Macaca mulatta: one gene and its partner. Each later gene encodes a partner of the first gene's protein in a complex. Links are inferred from orthologs where the notes say so. Each region holds a gene or a part of one and is shown on either strand. Other genes may lie near its edges. The genes, in order: SUPV3L1 and PNPT1.

What was found.
Region 2: SUPV3L1 (region 1) and PNPT1 share a complex: the UniProt entries of both Homo sapiens proteins name them as parts of the mitochondrial degradosome (mtEXO) complex. The link is inferred for Macaca mulatta from reciprocal best matches to the Homo sapiens genes SUPV3L1 and PNPT1.

What each region holds. Positions count from the first base shown.
Region 1 is NC_133414.1:80,430,144-80,439,076, forward strand, and holds the end of SUPV3L1 (ATP-dependent RNA helicase SUPV3L1, mitochondrial), read right to left. Parts: intron 4,991-8,933; coding exon 4,842-4,990; intron 4,180-4,841; coding exon 3,744-4,179; 3' UTR 3,653-3,743; downstream 1-3,652. UniProt on the Homo sapiens protein: Major helicase player in mitochondrial RNA metabolism. Component of the mitochondrial degradosome (mtEXO) complex, that degrades 3' overhang double-stranded RNA with a 3'-to-5' directionality in an ATP-dependent manner.
Region 2 is NC_133418.1:68,926,623-68,936,466, reverse strand, and holds the start of PNPT1 (polyribonucleotide nucleotidyltransferase 1, mitochondrial), read right to left. Parts: upstream 6,112-9,844; 5' UTR 6,094-6,111; coding exon 5,933-6,093; intron 1-5,932. UniProt on the Homo sapiens protein: RNA-binding protein implicated in numerous RNA metabolic processes. Catalyzes the phosphorolysis of single-stranded polyribonucleotides processively in the 3'-to-5' direction. Mitochondrial intermembrane factor with RNA-processing exoribonulease activity.

The DNA of each region.
Region 1 (8,933 bases):
GCGACAGAATGAGACTCTGATTAAAAAAAAATAAAGTAAAATAAACCTTACAGATACTGACATTTGGGGAATCATTTAAAAAGCCAGCTTATCATCCAATCAACCTGCATAAAAACTGAAAAAGCATTAGGCCTATAAACAGAGCTCTGCATTAGCTTATTTCTTCACTTTTAAACATAGACACAGGCAAGGATCACTAGACACATGAGACAAGTTTCCAACAATAAAGGTAGAAACAAAACCAAGCTAGGAAAAAGAAAAAGAATGAGAATAATGTAAGAAACAGAAAAAAATTTTTAAATTACTTTATCTAGAGATACTATAGGTGGAGGTTTATTTTATTTATTTTTTTTTTTTTGAGACAGAGTCTAGCTCTGTCGCCCAGGCTGGAGTGCAGTGGCCGGATCTCAGCTCACTACAAGCTCCGCCTCCCAAGTTTACGCCATTCTCCTGCCTCAGCCTCCTGAATAGCTGGGACTACAGGCGCCCGCCACCTCGCCCGGCTAGTTTTTTGTATTTTTTAGTAGAGACGGGGTTTCACCGTGTTAGCCAGGATGGTCTCGATCTCCTGACCTTGTGATCTGCCCGTCTTGGCCTCCCAAAGTGCTGGGATTACAGGCTTGAGCCACCGCGCTCAGCCTATCTATTTTTTTTGAGACAGGGTCTGGTACTGTTGCCCAGGTTGGAGTGTAGTGGTACCTTCTCAGCTCACTGCAACCTCTGCCTCCTGGGCTCAAGTGATCCTCCCACCTTAGCCTCTCGGGTAGCTGGGACTACGGGCGCACACCAACATGCCTGGCTAATTTTTGCTTTTTTTGTAGAGACAGTGTTTTGCCGTGTTGCCCAGGCTGGTCTTGAACTTTTGAGCTCAAGCGATCTGTCTGCCTTGGCCTCCCAAAGTGTTGGGATTACAGGCGTGAGCCACTGCACCCAGCCAGGTTTATGTATTTTAAAGTTTTGAAACAGGGGAGGGAAATCTCAGCATGATTCCCTTATCCATTTGCCTGTCCCTTAGCAAACCTCTACTTTTCATTGCATCCTAATAGGTTTGAGTTAGACACACACAGAATGACTGCATCATAATTACAGACTCTCAGTTTTGAGTCATAAGAGACTCTGATTTGTGATAATAGTTTTATATATTTGTGATTTACAGTCACTTTTCAAGAGTTTCATTTTGCAGATTTATACTCTTCCACATATATAACATACAAAACATTACAAGTCACTGGATATTACTCTCGGTCATTTTCTAACCACATTTTATTAGATTACCAGGTCTGTATAGTGATAGTTTCTAAGCCTTAGTCCACATCCCATGTTTAAGTTCAGTGGAATCCATAATAATCCAAGGAGGGCTCTCAGGCAAGTACTTCAAAATCTGTGAGAAGACTGCAAGGATAGGAAAGGGCTTTCAGAAAGAGCAACATGACCATAGTGAAATGGGAATGAACACCTGGAATTCAGCTGGCCCTGAAGCCCACAAAGAAAGGTAAGTGACATGTCAAGCTTGTTGCAGAGAAGGAAGACTAGGCTGCTTTCTTGGTGACAATTTTAGGTACACTGAAGAGAACTCTCCAGGGCCACTCCAATTCTACTCTTCCTGTTTCGCTTCACATGCTGCCATCTTTTCTTTAGTCTCTTCTTACTACGGTGCCCTCTTTTCCCTCCAAGGGAAGGAGGACTGAAAGGGCAAACTATCACTATTTATAAATGCTCATTAGCTAAATGTTCAAGCAGCCCTTCCCTTACAGCACCTCCCACCCCCACCTCTCTTATTGGAGGCTTTAACTTTATTTAACTTATTTACTTATTTATTTAGAGACAGAGTCTCGCTCTGTTGTCCAGGCTGGAATGCAGTGGCATGATCACTGCTCACCGCAGCTTCCACCCCAGCCTCCCAAGTAGCTGTACTACTGGTGAACGCCACCACACCTGGCTAATTTTTAAAAATTTTTGTAGAGATGGGGTCTCACTGCGTTGCCCAAGCTGGTCTCAAACTCCTGGCCTCAAGCGATCTTCCTGCCTTGGTCTCCCAAAGTGCTGGGATTACAGGCATGAGCCACTGTGCCCAGCCACTTCCTTATTGAACATATTCAGGACTTTCCACTTGCCTTAGTTTTTAAGTGTCTCGCCTAAGTCTTTTCTCTGACTTACCAACTCTGGCCCCCAAACTGGAGAAAACAGGAGAGTTAACAGCACTATAAGTGATGTACCCCATCACTTAAATACAATGGGACCAAATCCCCTATTTGGTTCAGTTCATAGATATTTCTTGTAACCATCTGGACAAGCATGATTATGTCTGCTATGGTGTAAGTCACAGGGGTAAGCAAATTTTAGAAGCTGCAGTTGCCTCGTTGCAGAATATCAAGAGATAAGCCCTTCCAGGCATTTCACTAGTTTATCCATAAGCAAGGCAGATACAGATTGAGTGCCACCCACTTAGCCTTTATTTCCATGAAGGCAAAGGTCAGAATGAAGATTGTCATCTCAGTTAAATGTCACCTCTAAACTACCGAAGAAAAAAGCAGAGAGAGGTTGCTAATCTGGCTACGTTCCCTCACCCAATTTGAATCAAATCATATTTAATCCCTACTGTGATGTCAGCCTCAATTCAATAGTTGCTCAAGAAATTAGTTCAGTTGTCAGAATAATCTGAGAGCTCAATTCACAGCCCAGACTGGACCCAAACCTTCAGGTTCATTTATATAATAAAATGCTTCCTGTGTGCCAGGCCCTGTGCTAAATGGCACATGATCACATTTAACCTCCAAAACAACTCTAAGTGAGCGTACTGACCATTTTCTTCAAATGTGAGATCAAGCCCAGAGACGGCAAGGCTACTAAGCTGTGAGTGATAAGAAAAGGAACCACATCTGTCTAATTCCAAAGCTTCCACCTTTAAACCCCTTTTAGCTAGGTTTCTGAACAGGGTTGAAAACTTTGTTGGACAAGCATAGGCCACTATGCATCAGACTGGCCTTTGGACAAGGGAAGACCACCCTACCTAAAACAGCCCATCCCTGCCACCCAGCATCACTCTTTACTTATTCTACTTCTTTCTAGCAGTCTTCTCTAAAATTACACCCATTCATCTCACAAAGACTGATTTCTGCTATATTCCAGACACTGTGGATTCAGCAGTGAAACAGACTACAATCTCTGTCCTCATCGGCCTGACATGATTTGTTAACCTGTTCCTGTCTCTCCTACCAAATATGAGATCCATGAGGGTAGAACATTGCCAGTCTTGCTTACTGCATATTTCCAGCACCTAAATAGCCTCTGGTATATGGGTACAATAGACAGCAATGTTTGTCAAAGAATTCCATCCACGACATCCTCAGCATGGCATAGGAAGCTGGTCAAACGATTCACCAAAACGATTTTATTCCCATGCAGAGTTCCTTATGGTGCACTGTCTCAGTACTCTTCTACAAATGGCCATTATATAAAGATTTAAATTAAACCTCTATGATATCCTAGTATTTTCTAAATGTTGAAAAAAAAAACCAAAACAGTTTAGTCATCAAGAGTGATTTTTCTGTGCAAAAAAAAAAAAAAAACCACACACACACACCCCCCCCCCAACACCAAAAAACTCCCAGTACCAGATAGCCACAATACGAGAGCAGGGAGTAAATGCGTATGAGGAAAAAGGATTCAAAATAGATTTTTATTTGCAAAATTAAATTAAAAAAAAGAAAAAAAAAAAAAAAAAAAAAACCAGGAACAGAAAACTAGTCCGAATCAGGTTCCTTCTTCTTTCTTCTTGTCCCTTTTGGATGAGTCCCAGACTCCGTTCTTTCTTTGCTGCATTCAGTCTGTTGTGTCATCCACTCTTTTTCTAGCTGTTTCAGCATGTCTGGAGTGAGGAGTCCTTGCTGCACCAATCTGGAAGCAAGGGACAGCTCTCCTGCATTGGCGCTGGGTGGCTCAGTAGCTTTACTCCCTAGAGCTTTGGTGCCGCGTGTCCTTCTAGCTTGGCTCTTTAAGGTTCCTGACAATCGTGACTGGCTCACTGATGGAAAGCTCTCCAAATTCAACAGCTTATGCGTCTCAGACACTTTAATCAATTTAGTGATATTGTGCACACCATCTTGGATAATACCATCTAGTTCCTTCTGGAGATCTCGAATAAGGCTGGCATCTGGAAACATATCCATAAATCGGTAGCTGGGAAAAAGACACATTAGCATTATGGCAACAGCTCTTACTGCAGTCACTGGACTACTCTCAATGGCACACCTACATCTTGACATTGATTAATTCTAAATGTTCTTTTTGCAAACTCTCTTCAGTGCCTTTGCTCAACCTTTATTTCTGCCCCCACACATCCGAGGAATATGTCATCCTGAGGGAGGGTCAGCACTATACCTCAACAGACTCTTGATATACTCCTAGAGAGGGACATGCACCTCCTTTAAGAATCACTGGCCTAGAACAGGACTTCTCAAATGATAATGGACAAGTGAATCACCCAGGGATCTTGTTAAAATGCAGAATCTGATCAAGTCAGGGATGGGCCTGATACTCCTTAGTTCTAACAAGCTCCCAGGTGATACCAGTGCTTTTGGTCCAAGGACCATCCTTTGACCAGCAAGAGTCCAGTGGACCTTCCTTCTCACCCAGCCAACTTAACTAGAATTGTAATAACTCAAGTCATTTTTGGAATGGGTATAAACCATTCCATCAGTTGAACTGCCTTTATGGACAACAGACATAATATAGAGCATCTTGCAAATATGTCCATAATTTGAAATAGAAAAACAAATTCATAAAACCTTTAATTTGTCCTACTAGAAAAATGAGAGCACATAAAGGAAAAATGTTGGTACCTTAGCCACAGGTAAAGATCCAAGACATCGTGCACGGCTTCAAGATCCATGAGGTCTTTAATATTCCTAGGTGGAAGTAAAGGCCATTTGATGTATCGGCGTAACCATGCAAAGGTCAGGGGCTCATTCCTGCTATACTGCCTGGCAAACTGAGAGGGAAAGAGGAAAAGAGTTTCATAGAAGTGTCAGAATTCCCTTAAGTCTACAATTAGAAAGAGAAAAAATAAGGAAGCAAAACAAAAACATTAATTGTGGTTGTATTTCAATAGACAGGTGGTTTCTTTTCTCCTTTGTACTTTTCTCCTTTGTTAAGAACATTTAATACTTTATAAGGCCAGGTACAGTGGCTCACGTCTATAATCCCAGCACTCTGGGAGGCTGAAGCAGGTAGATCACTTGAGCCCAGGAGTTCGAGACTAGCTGGGGCAACATGGAGAAACCCCATCTCTATAAAAAACACAAAGAATTAGCTGGGCATGGTGGTGTGTGCCTGTGATTCCATCTACTCCTCAGGAAGCTGAGGTGGAGGATTACTGAGCCCGGGGAGGTCAAGGCTGCAGTGAGCCATGATCTAGCCACTGCACTCCAGCAGCGTGAGACCATCTGGAGAAAGAAAAAAAAAAAAAAAAAGAAGATGATTGCCTTCTTTTTCTAAAACCAGGGTAATAATACGTGCAGCAGAAGTTCAAGGGCTACTCTGGGCACACAACCTATAGAGTATCCCTGCTTCACAAGGAGCAGTTTAAAAAAAAAAAAAAAAGAAGAGCTGTAGAAGGACTAACTTTCCAGGGCCTGTCTGTTAACTCTTATTTAGGAATATGTGATGTTCTAAGCTATGGACAGACAGTACCTGAAGACTCCTATTTCTATCTCATTATGTAATAGTCCTATAACCTCAAATATGAGCTTAAGTTTATCTTGTTAATGTTCTCCCTTATTATATAGAATCCCTCTGAGGTGGCCTGGTGCAAGGCTGGTCGGAAGTCAATCTTGGCTCTGCCTCCTGCGAGCTGTGTGGCTTTGGCCAAGTCACCACTCTGTGCTTCAGCTTCCTCACTGGTAACATGAGACACCACAGCCCTGTCTTGAACCACAAGACACTGCTGGGGAATGTGCTTTGAAAACCATGTTGCATTCCAGACATTAGGCAATATTATACATCACCTGTACTACAGAAGATAGACATACAACCACACAGTAAGACCCCTCAAGCAAGAGTTTACATAAAATCTTCAGCTTCAAGATTCAAGCTGATTTCAAATGATTCATTTCCTAATTAGGGGAAATTATCTCTAAATGCTTAACCTAAACAAGGTCAATACTTCAGAGAGGAAGAGTAGTTTTAGATCAACTGTGTTTAAATAATGCCACAATTGTGTTAAATTCAGTCTGGTCCACTCTGCTAAGTTTAATAAATGCCAAGTAGGATAGCCATAAAAGACAGAAATGTGACCACACTGCCTGCCAGGCAGGACAGGCCAAGCATGAGTTCTCAAGTTATCTTATAAAGGCAGTAGCTCTATTTTTTTTTGGCCACAGACAACTAATGGAAGCCCAATACATAAAAGAGCTAAGTAAGGAGTTATGCAGAGAGGGCAGGGAGAGATGCCCGCCCGCCCGCCCATCCATCCATCTATCCATCCATCCGTCCATCCATCCGTCCGTCCATCCATCCATCCATCCAGCAGCTGGCCCTAAAGGAGCTCCATGGAGCACAGCTTCCAAATCACAGTCCTAAGGGGCATGGTAAGTCATCAGTGTGATTGAGCTCTTTCATAGTTCAGTAATGACAAAGATCAAGAAAAAAGGAAAAGCCTCTAGATTTCATATTCTAATTTTCAAACAGAAAACACATGGAGCGGCCAGGCAAGGTGGCTCACGCCTATAATCCTAGCACTTTGGGAGGCCAAGGTGGGTGGATTACTTGAGGTCAGGAGTTTGAGACCAGCCTGGCCAACATGGTGAAACCCCATCTCTACTAAAAATACAAAAAATTAGCCAGGCGTGGTGGCGGGCACCTGTAATCCCAGCTACTTGGGAGGCTGAGACAGGAGAATCACTTGAACCTGGGAGGCGGAGGTTGCAGTGAGCCAAGTTCATGCCACTGCACTCCAGCTGGGGCAACAGAGGGAGACTTCATCTCAAAAAGAAAACACACAGCGCATCATGGCGCACACCTGTAGTCCTAGCTACTCAGGAGGCTGAGGTGGAAGGATCGCCTGAGCCCAGGAGTTTGAGGTTACAGTGAGCTATGATTGCGCCACTGCACTGCAGCCTGGGCAACACAGCGAGACCTTAAGAAAACAAGCAACTGTTGACCTGCACGTTCCAGAGACTCCCTACACTTTAGTATAAAGAGCTTCTATTCACTAGAATAGCTCTTTAAAGGATGGTGTGAATGGGGCCAAGGCCATGGGGACTGAGTTCCACTCAGGTCAGTTTACAGCAGTTTAAGATTGTTCCATAAACTTCAACCTTATGCTAGCTAAGTTTTTCACAAATGCCAGCTCTAAGAAATATATTTTCTAGGTAAACATCTAGACATGGAAGGTCTCTAACACATATTGTTAAGAGAAAAAGAAAAGGCAAGTTTTGAGTAATTCATTAAGATAACGTTGATGGGGCTGGGCACAATGGCTCATGCCTGTAATCCTAGCACTTTGGGAGGCTGAGGCGGGTGGACTGCTTGAGCTCAGGAGTTCGTGACCAGCCTGGGGAACATGGCAAAACCCTGCCTCTACAAAATATAAAAAAATTAGCCAGGCATGGCACGTGCCTGTAAGCCCAGATACTCAGGAGTCTGAGGCACAAGAATCGCTTGAATCCAGGAGGCAGAGGTTGCAGTGAGCTGAGATGGCACCACTGCACTCCAGCCTGAGCGACAGAGTGAGACTCTGTCTCAAAACACAAAAGATAATTTTTTACAGGGAAACGGACCCTCACAAATCTAGTGTTTCCATATGAACATGCATGTAGGCAAACGCAGTGAAAAACAGTCTGCAAAGATACACACAAACTTACACAAGTAGTTATTTCAGAGGACTAAGATTGGGAGGGAGCCACATTTAAGCTATCTGTAATGTTTTCATTTTGTATAAAGAGAATGTATGTATTATTTATGTAATTTTTTTTTTTAAAGGACAGAGTCTTGCTATGTTGCTGGAGATGTTCTCGAACTCTTAGGCTTAAGCAGAGTTGGCCTTCCTGCCTTGGCCTCCCAAAGTGCTGGGATTACAGGCATAAGCCACAGCACTGGACTATTTACATTATTTAAAAAATAAGTTTAGAGATAGATTTGATTAGAATATAGTTCGTATGCAGAATGCTCAGGCCTACAGAGGAAATGGCAATGAACCTCAGTGAGTCAGGACAAGATTCAGAGAAGGGGAGGCCTTTGGGTTTAGTGGGGTGGGGAGAGCATGCAAAGCAGAGGAAATAGGGCGGGCAAGGTCCCAGAGAGGTGAGAGAACAGCAAGTCGGGGCAGGAAGTTCAGTGTCCACTGTCCTTCCTGGCCCCCAGGAATCCTGTGCTTCTCAGAAGTCAGAGATTTGCATCCCTGCCCAAATGAGTAAAAAGGGGCTAGAACCCTGGCATGGTGCTCATACAAGACAGTAACTCCTGGCTCAGTGCTTTACACTTAAGAAAACTGAACATGGCTGGGCGCGGTGGCTCAAGCCTGTAATCCCAGCACTTTGGGAGGCCGAGACGGGCGGATCACGAGGTCAGGAGATCAAGACCATCCTGGCTAACACGGTGAAACCCCGTCTCTACTAAAAAAAATACAAAAAACTAGCCAGGCGAGGTGGCGGACGCCTGTAGTCCCAGCTACTCGGGAGGCTGAGGCAGGAGAATGGCGTGAACCCAGGAGGCGGAGCTTGCAGTGAGCTGAGAGCCGGCCACTGCACTCCAGCCTGGGCGACAGAGCGAGACTCCGTCTCAAAAAAAAAAAAAAAAGAAAACTGAACACTATTGCTACTATTAATCCCTATTTAAGTTTTTACAAAGTCTCTCATATTACAGAGTACTCTTCTAATTGTTTTATGTTGAATAACAAAGTACTGTTTGGGGAAACTGTATGAACCTGAAGGAAC
Region 2 (9,844 bases), on another chromosome or scaffold:
GCCTAGGCTGGAGTGCAATGGCACAATTACAACTCACTGTAACCTTGAACACCTGGGCTCAAGCGATCCTCCAACTCAGCTTCCTGAGTAGTTGGGACTACAGGTGCACACCACTACACTTGGCTAATTTTAGTTTTTGTTATGGATGAGATCTCACTATATTGTCTAGGCTGGTCTTGAACTCCTGGCCTCAAGCAATTCTCCCGCCTTGGCCTCCCAAAGTGCTGGGATTACAGGTGTGAGTCAAGGTGCCTGGCTCCATTTACCATCTTAGTACAGTCTCTTATCATCTCTCACCTTGTTGACTACAGTAACATTTTAACATACAAATAGGATTGTTTCCCTACTTAAAAATCCTTTAGCCAGGCGTGGTGTCTCCCAACTGTAATCCCAGGACTTTGAAAGGCTGACACAGGCTGATCACCTGAGGTCAGCAGTTCAAGACCAACCTGGCCAACATGGTGAAACCCCATCTCTACTAAAAATATCAAAATTAGCTGGGCATGGTGGTGCCTGTCTATAATCCCAGCTACTAGGGAGGCTGAGGCAAGACAGTTGCTTAAACCCAGGAGGGGGAAGTTACAGCGAGCCGAGATTGTGCCAATGCACTCCAGCCTGGGCGAGAGTTGAGACTCCATACCAAAACAACAACAACAAAAAACACTTGAGAATTTCTCCCAATGCTTTTAGGACAAAATATAAACTCCTAAATATTGCCTATAAGGACCTTCACGTTCAACAGAAGGGGAAAGAATAATCTTCAATTCAATGAGGAAAGAGTAGTCTTGTGAGGCAATAGTGAACAACCGGATGCAAAAAAGAATGAATCTTCATAAATTAACTCAAAATGGATCCTGGACTTAAACGTTAAGAGCTAAAACGATAAAAGTCTTAGAAACAAAACACAGGAGTAAATCTTCAGAGACTTGGGCCAAAGTCTTAAATATGACATCAAAAGCATAAATGACAAAAGAAAAAATAGGTAAGTTGGATTTCATAAAAATTTAAAACTTTAAGAGTAAAAGAAGTGCCATATATTAAGAGAAAAATATTTGCAAACCAAGTATCTGATAAGGGACTTGTATTAATATCTAGAATATTTAAATAATGCTTACAATTCAACAATAAAGACAACTGAATTTTAAAACTTGGCAAAGAGGCTGGGCGCAGTGGCTCAAGCCTGTAATCCCAGCACTTTGGGAGGCCGAGACGGGTGGATCACGAGGTCAGGAGATCGAGACCATCCTGGCTAACACGGTGAAACCCTGTCTCTACTAAAAAATACAAAAAACTAGCCGGGCGAGGTGGCGGGCGCCTGTAGTCCCAGCTACTCGGGAGGCTGAGGCAGAATGGCGTGAACCCGGGAGGCGGAGCTTGCAGTGAACTGAGATCCGGTCACTGCACTCCAGCCTGGGTGACAGAGCGAGACTCCGTCTCAAACAAACAAACAAACAAACAAACAAAAAAACACTTGGCGGCCAGGCGCGGTGGCTCAAGCCTGTAATCCCAGCACTTTGGGAGGCCGAGACGGGCGGATCACGAGGTCAGGAGATCGAGACCATCCTGGCTAACACGGTGAAACCCCGTCTCTACTAAAAAATACAAAAATCTAGCCGGGCGAGGTGGCGGGCGCCTGTAGTCCCAGCTGCTCGGGAGGCTGAGGCAGGAGAATGGCGTAAACCTGGGAGGCAGAGCTTGCAGTGAGCTGAGATCCGGCCACTGCAGTCCAGCCTGGGCAACAGAGCAAGACTCCGTCTCAAAAAAAAAAAAAAAAAAAAAAAAAAACACACTTGGCAAAGGACTTGAACAGACATCTCTCCAAAGAAGACATACAAATGGCCAGTAAGGACATAAAAATATGCTCAATATCATTAACTATCAGCAGGGAAATGCAAATCAAAATCACAACCTGTTATGAATGTTCCTTGTAGCATTATTCATAGTAGTTCCCAAATGGAAACAACCCAAATGTCCATCAACTGATGAATGGATAAGCTAAATGTGGTATAATTCATACAACGGATTATTATTCAGTGATAAAAAGGAACAAAGTACTTATACATGTTACAACATGAATAAACATTGACAACATTATGTTAAGTGAAAGAAGGCAGTCACAAAAGACTATGTTTCCACGTAAGAAACGTTCATAATAGGCAAATCCACAGAGATGGAAAGTAGATTAGTGGTTGCCTGGGGCTGGGGAGAAATACTAAGTGACTACTACTAATGAATTTCGTTTTAGGGTGATAGAAGTGTTCTAAAATTGATGGTGGTAATGGCTGCAAAACTTTGAATATACTAATATCCATTGAATTATACACTTTATTTATCTGTATTTATTTATTTTGAGATAGGGTCTTGCTCTGTTGCCCAGGCTGGAGTGCAGTGGTGCCATCACAGCTCACTGCAGCCTTGACCTCCCAAGCTCAAGCAATCCTCCCACCTCAGCCTCCTGAGTAGCTCGAAATACAGGTGTGCACCACCATACTGGCCTAATTTTTAAATTTTTTTGTAGAGATGAGGTCTCATTATGTTACCCAGGCTGGTCTCAAACTCCTGGACTCAAACTCAAGCAATCCTCCTGCCTTGGCTTCCCAAAGTGCTAGGATTACAGACATGAGCCACTGCTCCCAGACGAGTTGTACACTTTAAATGAACTGTATGGTATGTGAATTATATCTTAATAAAGCTGTCTTATATACATGAAATAGGCAGCACTATCAGCCTTATTCCCCAGTTTCAGCAGAGAATGCAAAAAGAGCTTACTGAGGTCTTGAAACAGACCAGCAAAACTTGTCAAAGAGCTCAAGATTCATCAAAAGGTGTTTTGAGATGAAACCAAGTCAGTGACCCCTGAAGATACAGAGGAAGATGCTCTGTCACATGAACTCAGCTTCAGCAACCTTCTTTCATAGTCTGGTGCTGAAAATGCACAAACCAAACACAAGCATGCAGACAGGCCCAATGCCCTGCCCCAAATAAGATTATTCTGTCCTTCACATACCAAAGAGATGAAGGAACAACCCTTAATATTTTCACCTGTTAAATACCTTTGCCAGAAGCCTGAGTTAATGAAAAGCATATTCATCTGTTCAGTTAGACCCATTTTGTTAAGTTTGAAAGTCAGAACAAAGTATGTACATTTAATACATGTTAATAAATAGTGATTTTGTAGTACCAAATTCTTGACTCTGAAATATTAGTTTTTTTTTTTTTTGAATCAGGGAATATTTGATAAGTTCTAGTTGGGTTTCTACTTAGTCAATACAGATGGTATAATGATGAAAGCCTACAATAAAATGGGTGTCCTCTGACTAATGGGAATAATGAGGTACAGAGAGGAGGCTGGTGCTGGATTAATACGTGGAGTAGATGGAAGGAATGGGATACTCAAAACCAGTCATACTGTGTAGTATCACAGACCTGCAACAACCTATAGCTGAAATCAGTATTAAGTAATGGTTTCCTGTGGCAAATGTAAATTTGGCATCTTGAAATTTTGTTTAACCCCAAGTAAGATGCTACCAATACTTCTCAAAACCTACCAGGAACTGGCATTCTGTCTACCAGTGTGAATTCTGAATACCTAAGTGATCTCTGTGAAGGGGAGTGGAGGATCTTTAACTAGACTACAGTGGGCCCAAAACACAGGGAAGAAAAGCTGTGACAGCTACAGGTCTACTCCATTAATGGGGCTACTGCCTTAGCATTTTGCCCACAGTGGCATACTCTTTTGAATATCCTCAGTGATTTGATGCATAGTAGATGCTCAATAAAAGACTGCTGAAATGAAAATTAAACACCTGCCTCCAAGGTTACCGTGAGCATTAAATATACTATCTGAAAAACACCTACAATAATTATATAATCTTCTAGAATGCAGTAAAGAATACATATGGTAACAAATATAATGTGTCACTCAATAAATGTTGCCAATGGCAAACAAGACAAAAATGAAAGAATTTATCCAGCAAGTATGATATTTATGAGTCTAGTTATTTCAATACATGACACGAGTTTAAAGAGAACTATCTACAAAAGAACAGGTTGATTAATAAAAGAAAGAGTCAAAGTAGATTATTTATGGAAAATATGGAGGGTAGGAGCTGCATCTTGTTTTGAGTATCTAGTGCCTATCTCACAGTACGTGACTGTTGAATGAAATGTTCTGGGCATTTCTTCGAAGCATGTGCAGTCCTTGAAGAATGGAAAAGATGTCCTCTTCCCTCAAAAATCAGAATTAAGGAATGCTGGGAGTGGAATGAGCCTTAGAGATAACCTAGTTTAGGGGTGACCAAACTACAGCTCATGGCCTATTTCTGTACTACTCTGTAACTAAAAATGTTTTTTTATTTTTATTTATTTATTTATTTTTGAGACAGAGTTTTGCTTTTGTCGCCCAGGCTGGAGTGCAATGGCACAATCTCGGCCACTGCATCCTCTGTCTCCTGGGTTCAACCGATTCTCCTGCCTCGGCCTCCCAAGTTACTGGAATTACAGGTGCCTGCCACCATGCCCAGCTAATTTTTGTATTTTTAGTAAAGATGGGGTTTCACCATGTTGGCCAGGCTGGTCTCCAACTACTGACCTCAGGTGATCCATCCACCTCAGCCTCCCAAAGTGCTCGAATTACAGGTGTGAGCCACTGTGCTGGGCCGTTTTTTAAAACATTTCTAAAGGGTTTGTAAACACATACACACAGTGTATACCCCAAAAAGCCTAATATATATATTATCCAGTCCTTTACAGAAAAAGTTTGCAGACCCTTAATGGAATCCAGTCTCCACACTTTGCACAAGAAAATGGTGAATTAACTTGTTCAACGTGAATTACTTATCAAAGTTAGAGTGGGAGACCTGGATTCAAAACGATTTTTTTGCTTTTTGTATGAACTGGGGTCAAAATTTTTTCAAAGTACACGTAAGAAATTTAGATAAGGCCGGGCGCGGTGGCTCAAGCCTGTAATCCCAGCACTTTGGGAGGCCGAGACGGGCGGATCACGAGGTCAGGAGATCGAGACCATCCTGGCTAACACGGTGAAACCCCGTCTCTACTAAAAAATACAAAAAACTAGCCGGGCGAGGTGGGGGGTGCCTGTAGTCCCAGCTACTTGGGAGGCTGAGGCAGGAGAATGGCGTAAACCTGGGAGGCAGAGCTTGCAGTGAGCTGAGATCCGGCCACTGCACTCCAGCCTGGGCGACAGAGCAAGACTCCTTCTCAAAAAAAAAAAAAAAAAAAAAGAAATTTAGATATATGAAGTTTGCATTAGCAATTCCATTTATTCTAAAAACGATTAAAGCATAAGTTTTTTCTTTTTTAAACGGTCCCTTAAAAAAGTACGGGCTTTGTAAGCAAGAAACAGAAATTCAAAAACCACCTAGTCCCACAATACTTTTTAATTGACTCTTAGAAAGTTATCTAACCTTTTTTGAGCCTCTACAAAACGAGGGTAATAGTACCTTTACGACAGGTTTAAAAAGATTGCGAGGATCCTATAACTGGCGTTCAAAAAACTGACTTTTCCTTTCCCTCCTAACCGGGGGTCATAGTGGCCACACTTTAGGCAATCAATTAGATTGGATGACGTGATACATCCACGTCAACTCGTTATCCCTAGGTGGAATGTTTCCCACTTAAGAGTCCAGTGGTCCCGGAAAGTAAAGAGATCGGAAGTCAGGTGGAGGGACAGAGTCGGATGGAGCAAAGAAGCCCGGCACACACCAACAGAGGGCATGAGATAGCGCGGGAAGAAGGAGGGTCCGAGGAGTCACATTCCAAACCCGGAAAGAGAAATTTGGAATTTAGATTTAGGGTAAAGAGAGATTAAATAGACCTAGGATACTGGGTTTCTACCCTGGGAGACGAATACGCTCAGGCTGGCTGGACAGGACGCCTTATGACAATACAGGGAACGCACGCCACTCCTTACCTGTTGCCTAAGTCCACGGCCACAGCTCGAGACCCTGCGCTACTCCATAGTGCACGCGCCTGCAACTGGGTGAGTGCCCGATCCCGCCCTGGCAGACGGAAGGGACCATCGCTCCGGGGCCGGAGCCGGAGGCACGAGCTGCAGTACCTGCAGGCAGCCATGACACCCGGCACGCGATCAACCCAGGCTGTGCCCTGATTGGCTCACTCCTCAGACCGTGGGGCGGAGCCTGATGCAGTTTCGTTTTCCGCGGTGCCTAAGGGACGCCGGGACAACGGAAACGTTGGCCACCTTCTACGAAGACTAGAGAGGATCAAACCTATCAGAAAGCGATTATGTTGTAAACGATCTTTGTTGTTATCTGCCAATGAAAGGCAATTAGATAAATAAGGTTTTTGTGTGTGTACTATCGTAATTTAAAGGAGAAGTCCTAGAATAATGTACACGTGTAATATGCAGAGTAAATTTATATTTACTCTTATTACTAGAAGTCATAGAACAACACATTATTATTATTTGACTCTGTGAACTAAGAATTAGAATTTGTGTGGTGGGCCTTTGGAAAGAGCTCTCCCTCTCCCCTTCTCCGCCCTGGTTTTTATTTTATAAATTTCACATAGCAGATATGACACTGCAGCGATTTGTGTTAACCGATTTACAGCAAATTAATTCATTTTTCATCGACTTGTAATTTTAGAAATATTTATTGTCATTTCTGATTCATTTTCATTTCCATTGCTAATAATTAGAAATTTATATTCCTGTCCCTTTTGGTCGAACTCTTTTTTTTTTTTTTTTTTTTTTTTTTTTGAGACGGAGTCCTGCTCTGTGCCCCAGGCTGGAGTGCAACGGCGCGACCTCGGCTCACTGCAAGCTCCGCCCCCCGGGTTCATGCCATTCTCCTGCCTCAGCCTCCTGAATAGCTGGGACTACAGGTGCCCGCCATCACGCCCGGCTAATTTTTTTTGTATCTTTTAGTAGAGACGGGGTTTACACGGTGTTAGCCAGGATGGTCTCGATCTCCTGACCTCGTGATCCGCCCGCCTCGGCCTCCCAAAGTGCTGGGATTACAGGCTTGAGCCACCGCGCCCGGCCAGGTTCAACTCTTAAATGCAAAATGCCAGCTACTGTTTGAAGTAAATATTTTGTAAAATGAAAAAAAAAAAAAAAAGTTTTTGGGATTTGAACAATTTTTAGAGAGTGGGTAAATTTCTTCCATCCCATTAATCCGTTCCGTTAGAAATTCTTTATGTTGTTCCTTTAATGAACCAATGAGCATTTTCATATTATGATGTATATTTCTTGTATAAGGTCATAACCGCCTTCCCCCAAAGAAAACCAAGCAACAAAAACCCAACACTCATTCAAACACAGTTTTCAGAATTAAAAACGTTGGCTGGACGCGGTGGCTTGTAATCCCAGCACTTTGGGAGGCCTGTAATCCCAGCACTTTGGGAGGCCGAGGCAGGCGGATCACCTGAGGTCGGGAGTTCGAGACCAGCCTGACCAATATGGAGAAACCCCCGTCTCTACTAAAAATACCAAATTAGCCGGGCGGGGTGGTTCATGCCTGTAATCCCAGCTACTCGGAAGGCTGAGGCAGGGTAATCGCTTGAACCCGGGAGGCAGAGGTTGCAGTGAGCCGAGATCGCGCCATTTCTACAAGAGTGAAACTCCGTCTAAAAAAAAAAAAAGTCCTGGCGCGGTGGCCCACGCCTGTAATCCCAGCACGCTGGGAGGCCGAGGCAGATGGATCACGAGGTCAGGAGAACCAGTTCATCCTGGCCAACAGGCTGAAAACGCGTCTGTACTAAAAATACAAAAATTAGCTGGGTGTGGTGGCGCATGCTGTAATCCCAGCTACTCCGGAGGCTGAGGCACAATAATTGCTTGAATCCAGGAGGCGGAGGTTGCAGTGAGCCGAGATCACGCACTGCACTCCAGAGCGAGACTCCATCTCAAAAAAAAAAAAAAAAGAAAGAAAGAAAAGAAAAATGTTGATCCATGATTTAAAAAAGAAAAAAGAATGATGAACTCTAAACAGATAAATGATTTGGTGGCAAAGCAGCTTTCTGACACCTTGCTTTCATGAGCTATTATTACTGATTTGGGATTTCCGTGCCAATAGAGGGATTACCATTAACCTTGTTTACAGATTTTTAGTGTTAAAGCAGTTTTTGCGTCTTCTCCCTTTTACTTTACCTTGAGTTGCCACATTTTCAAGACCAATCAATCTATTGAAATCTGTCATGAAGATAAATGTCTCAGAAAACCTACTTGCCACAGTTGAACATGACTTTTGATTTATAGAGTAAGAACACAAAATCATCTTTTGGTAATATACTTAAGTACTATGTAATCATTTTCATTTAGGCAGTATTGCCTAATAGTTTAGAGCATAGACTTGGAGTTAGTCCCAGCTGGTTCCGATCTTGTCTGTTAATTACCAGTTGTGTGACCCTAGCTCTCTGAGCCTCAGTTTCCCCATAAAAATGGATAGTAACATGAAACTAACAGGGTTTTTGTAAGGATTAAACATGTCAGATGATATATTTATAATAGTACCTAGCACATTGTCAACATCAATAAATGGTAAATTTAGCTATTATCCTGCCTTTTCCTTTTCTTTTAAGACGGAGTTTTGCTCTTGTTGCCCAGGCTAGAGTGCAGTGGCACAATCTCAGTTCACTGCAACCTCTGCCTCCAGGGTTCAAGTGATTCCCCTGCCGCAGGCCTCCTGAGTAGCTGGGATTACAGGCATCCACCACCATGCCTGGCTAATTTTTTGTATTTTTAGTAGAGATGGGGTTTCATCATGTTGGCCAGGTTGGTCTATAACTCCTGACCTCAGGTGATTCACCCGCCCTGGCCTCCCAAAGTGCAGGGATTACAGGCGTGAGCCACCGCACCCGGCCTTATCCAGCGTTTTGTTAATTCTTCCTCCAGTTTCCAGGTATTCTGAACATCTTTCTCTTCTTCAGAACTCCTTGAACTCCTTGAATCGGTTAGCTTTCATCCAGCCAGAAATAATGGAAAGCAGCATTTACCTATTAAGAATCCCCCACCCCCATTTCCTCACATAAACCTGATATAATTCAAATAGTAGTAATTGGATAGTAAACTCAAAAGCAAATGTAGGCACTAAAATCTTGTAGCAGAGCTTTGTTATGAAGATATAGATGATACGGAATACGTTTATATGTTTATATGAAGCATTTTTAGATTAGCGTAGAAACAAAAATATAAAACGTTTAAATTCTTGTAGTTGTTACTACTGAAGCTATAATCCATGAGGTTCAGTCTGAGATGTTATTCTGGAAGTAGAGTTATGTTTCCCTCAAGTATAGTTCAACAGCCAAAATATAATTTAAAAGGAATTTATTTACCTATGATTGTTGAAGGGCATTAAAAATGATCCAACTTAAATCCACTAGCAACTTCTCAGATCTCCTTTTCCCTTTTCTTCAAACTCCAATGAACCTGCATCAAAATAGTTAATATCACTACACGCTCTGAATAAGCAACTACAGTTAAATAAAACATCATTGCATTAAGTTGTGTTTAACTACTTTTTTTTTTTTTGAAATGGAGTCTTGCTCTGTTGCCCAGGCTGGAGAGCAGTGATGTAATCTTGGCTCACTGCAACCTCCGCCTCCTGGGTTCAAGCAATTCTTCTGCCTCAGCCTCCCAAGTAGCTAGGACTACAGACGTGCACCATCACGCCCAGTTAATTTTTGTATTTTTAGTAGAGACGGGGTTTCACTATGTTGGCCAGGCTGGTCTCCAACTCCCGACCTCAGGTGATTTGCCTGCCTTGGCCTCACAAAGTGCTAGGATTACAGGCATGAGCCACAGAGCCCGGCCCTTTAACTACATTTTAATTTAGTTTGTAGTTTAGTTTAGACAGGGTAT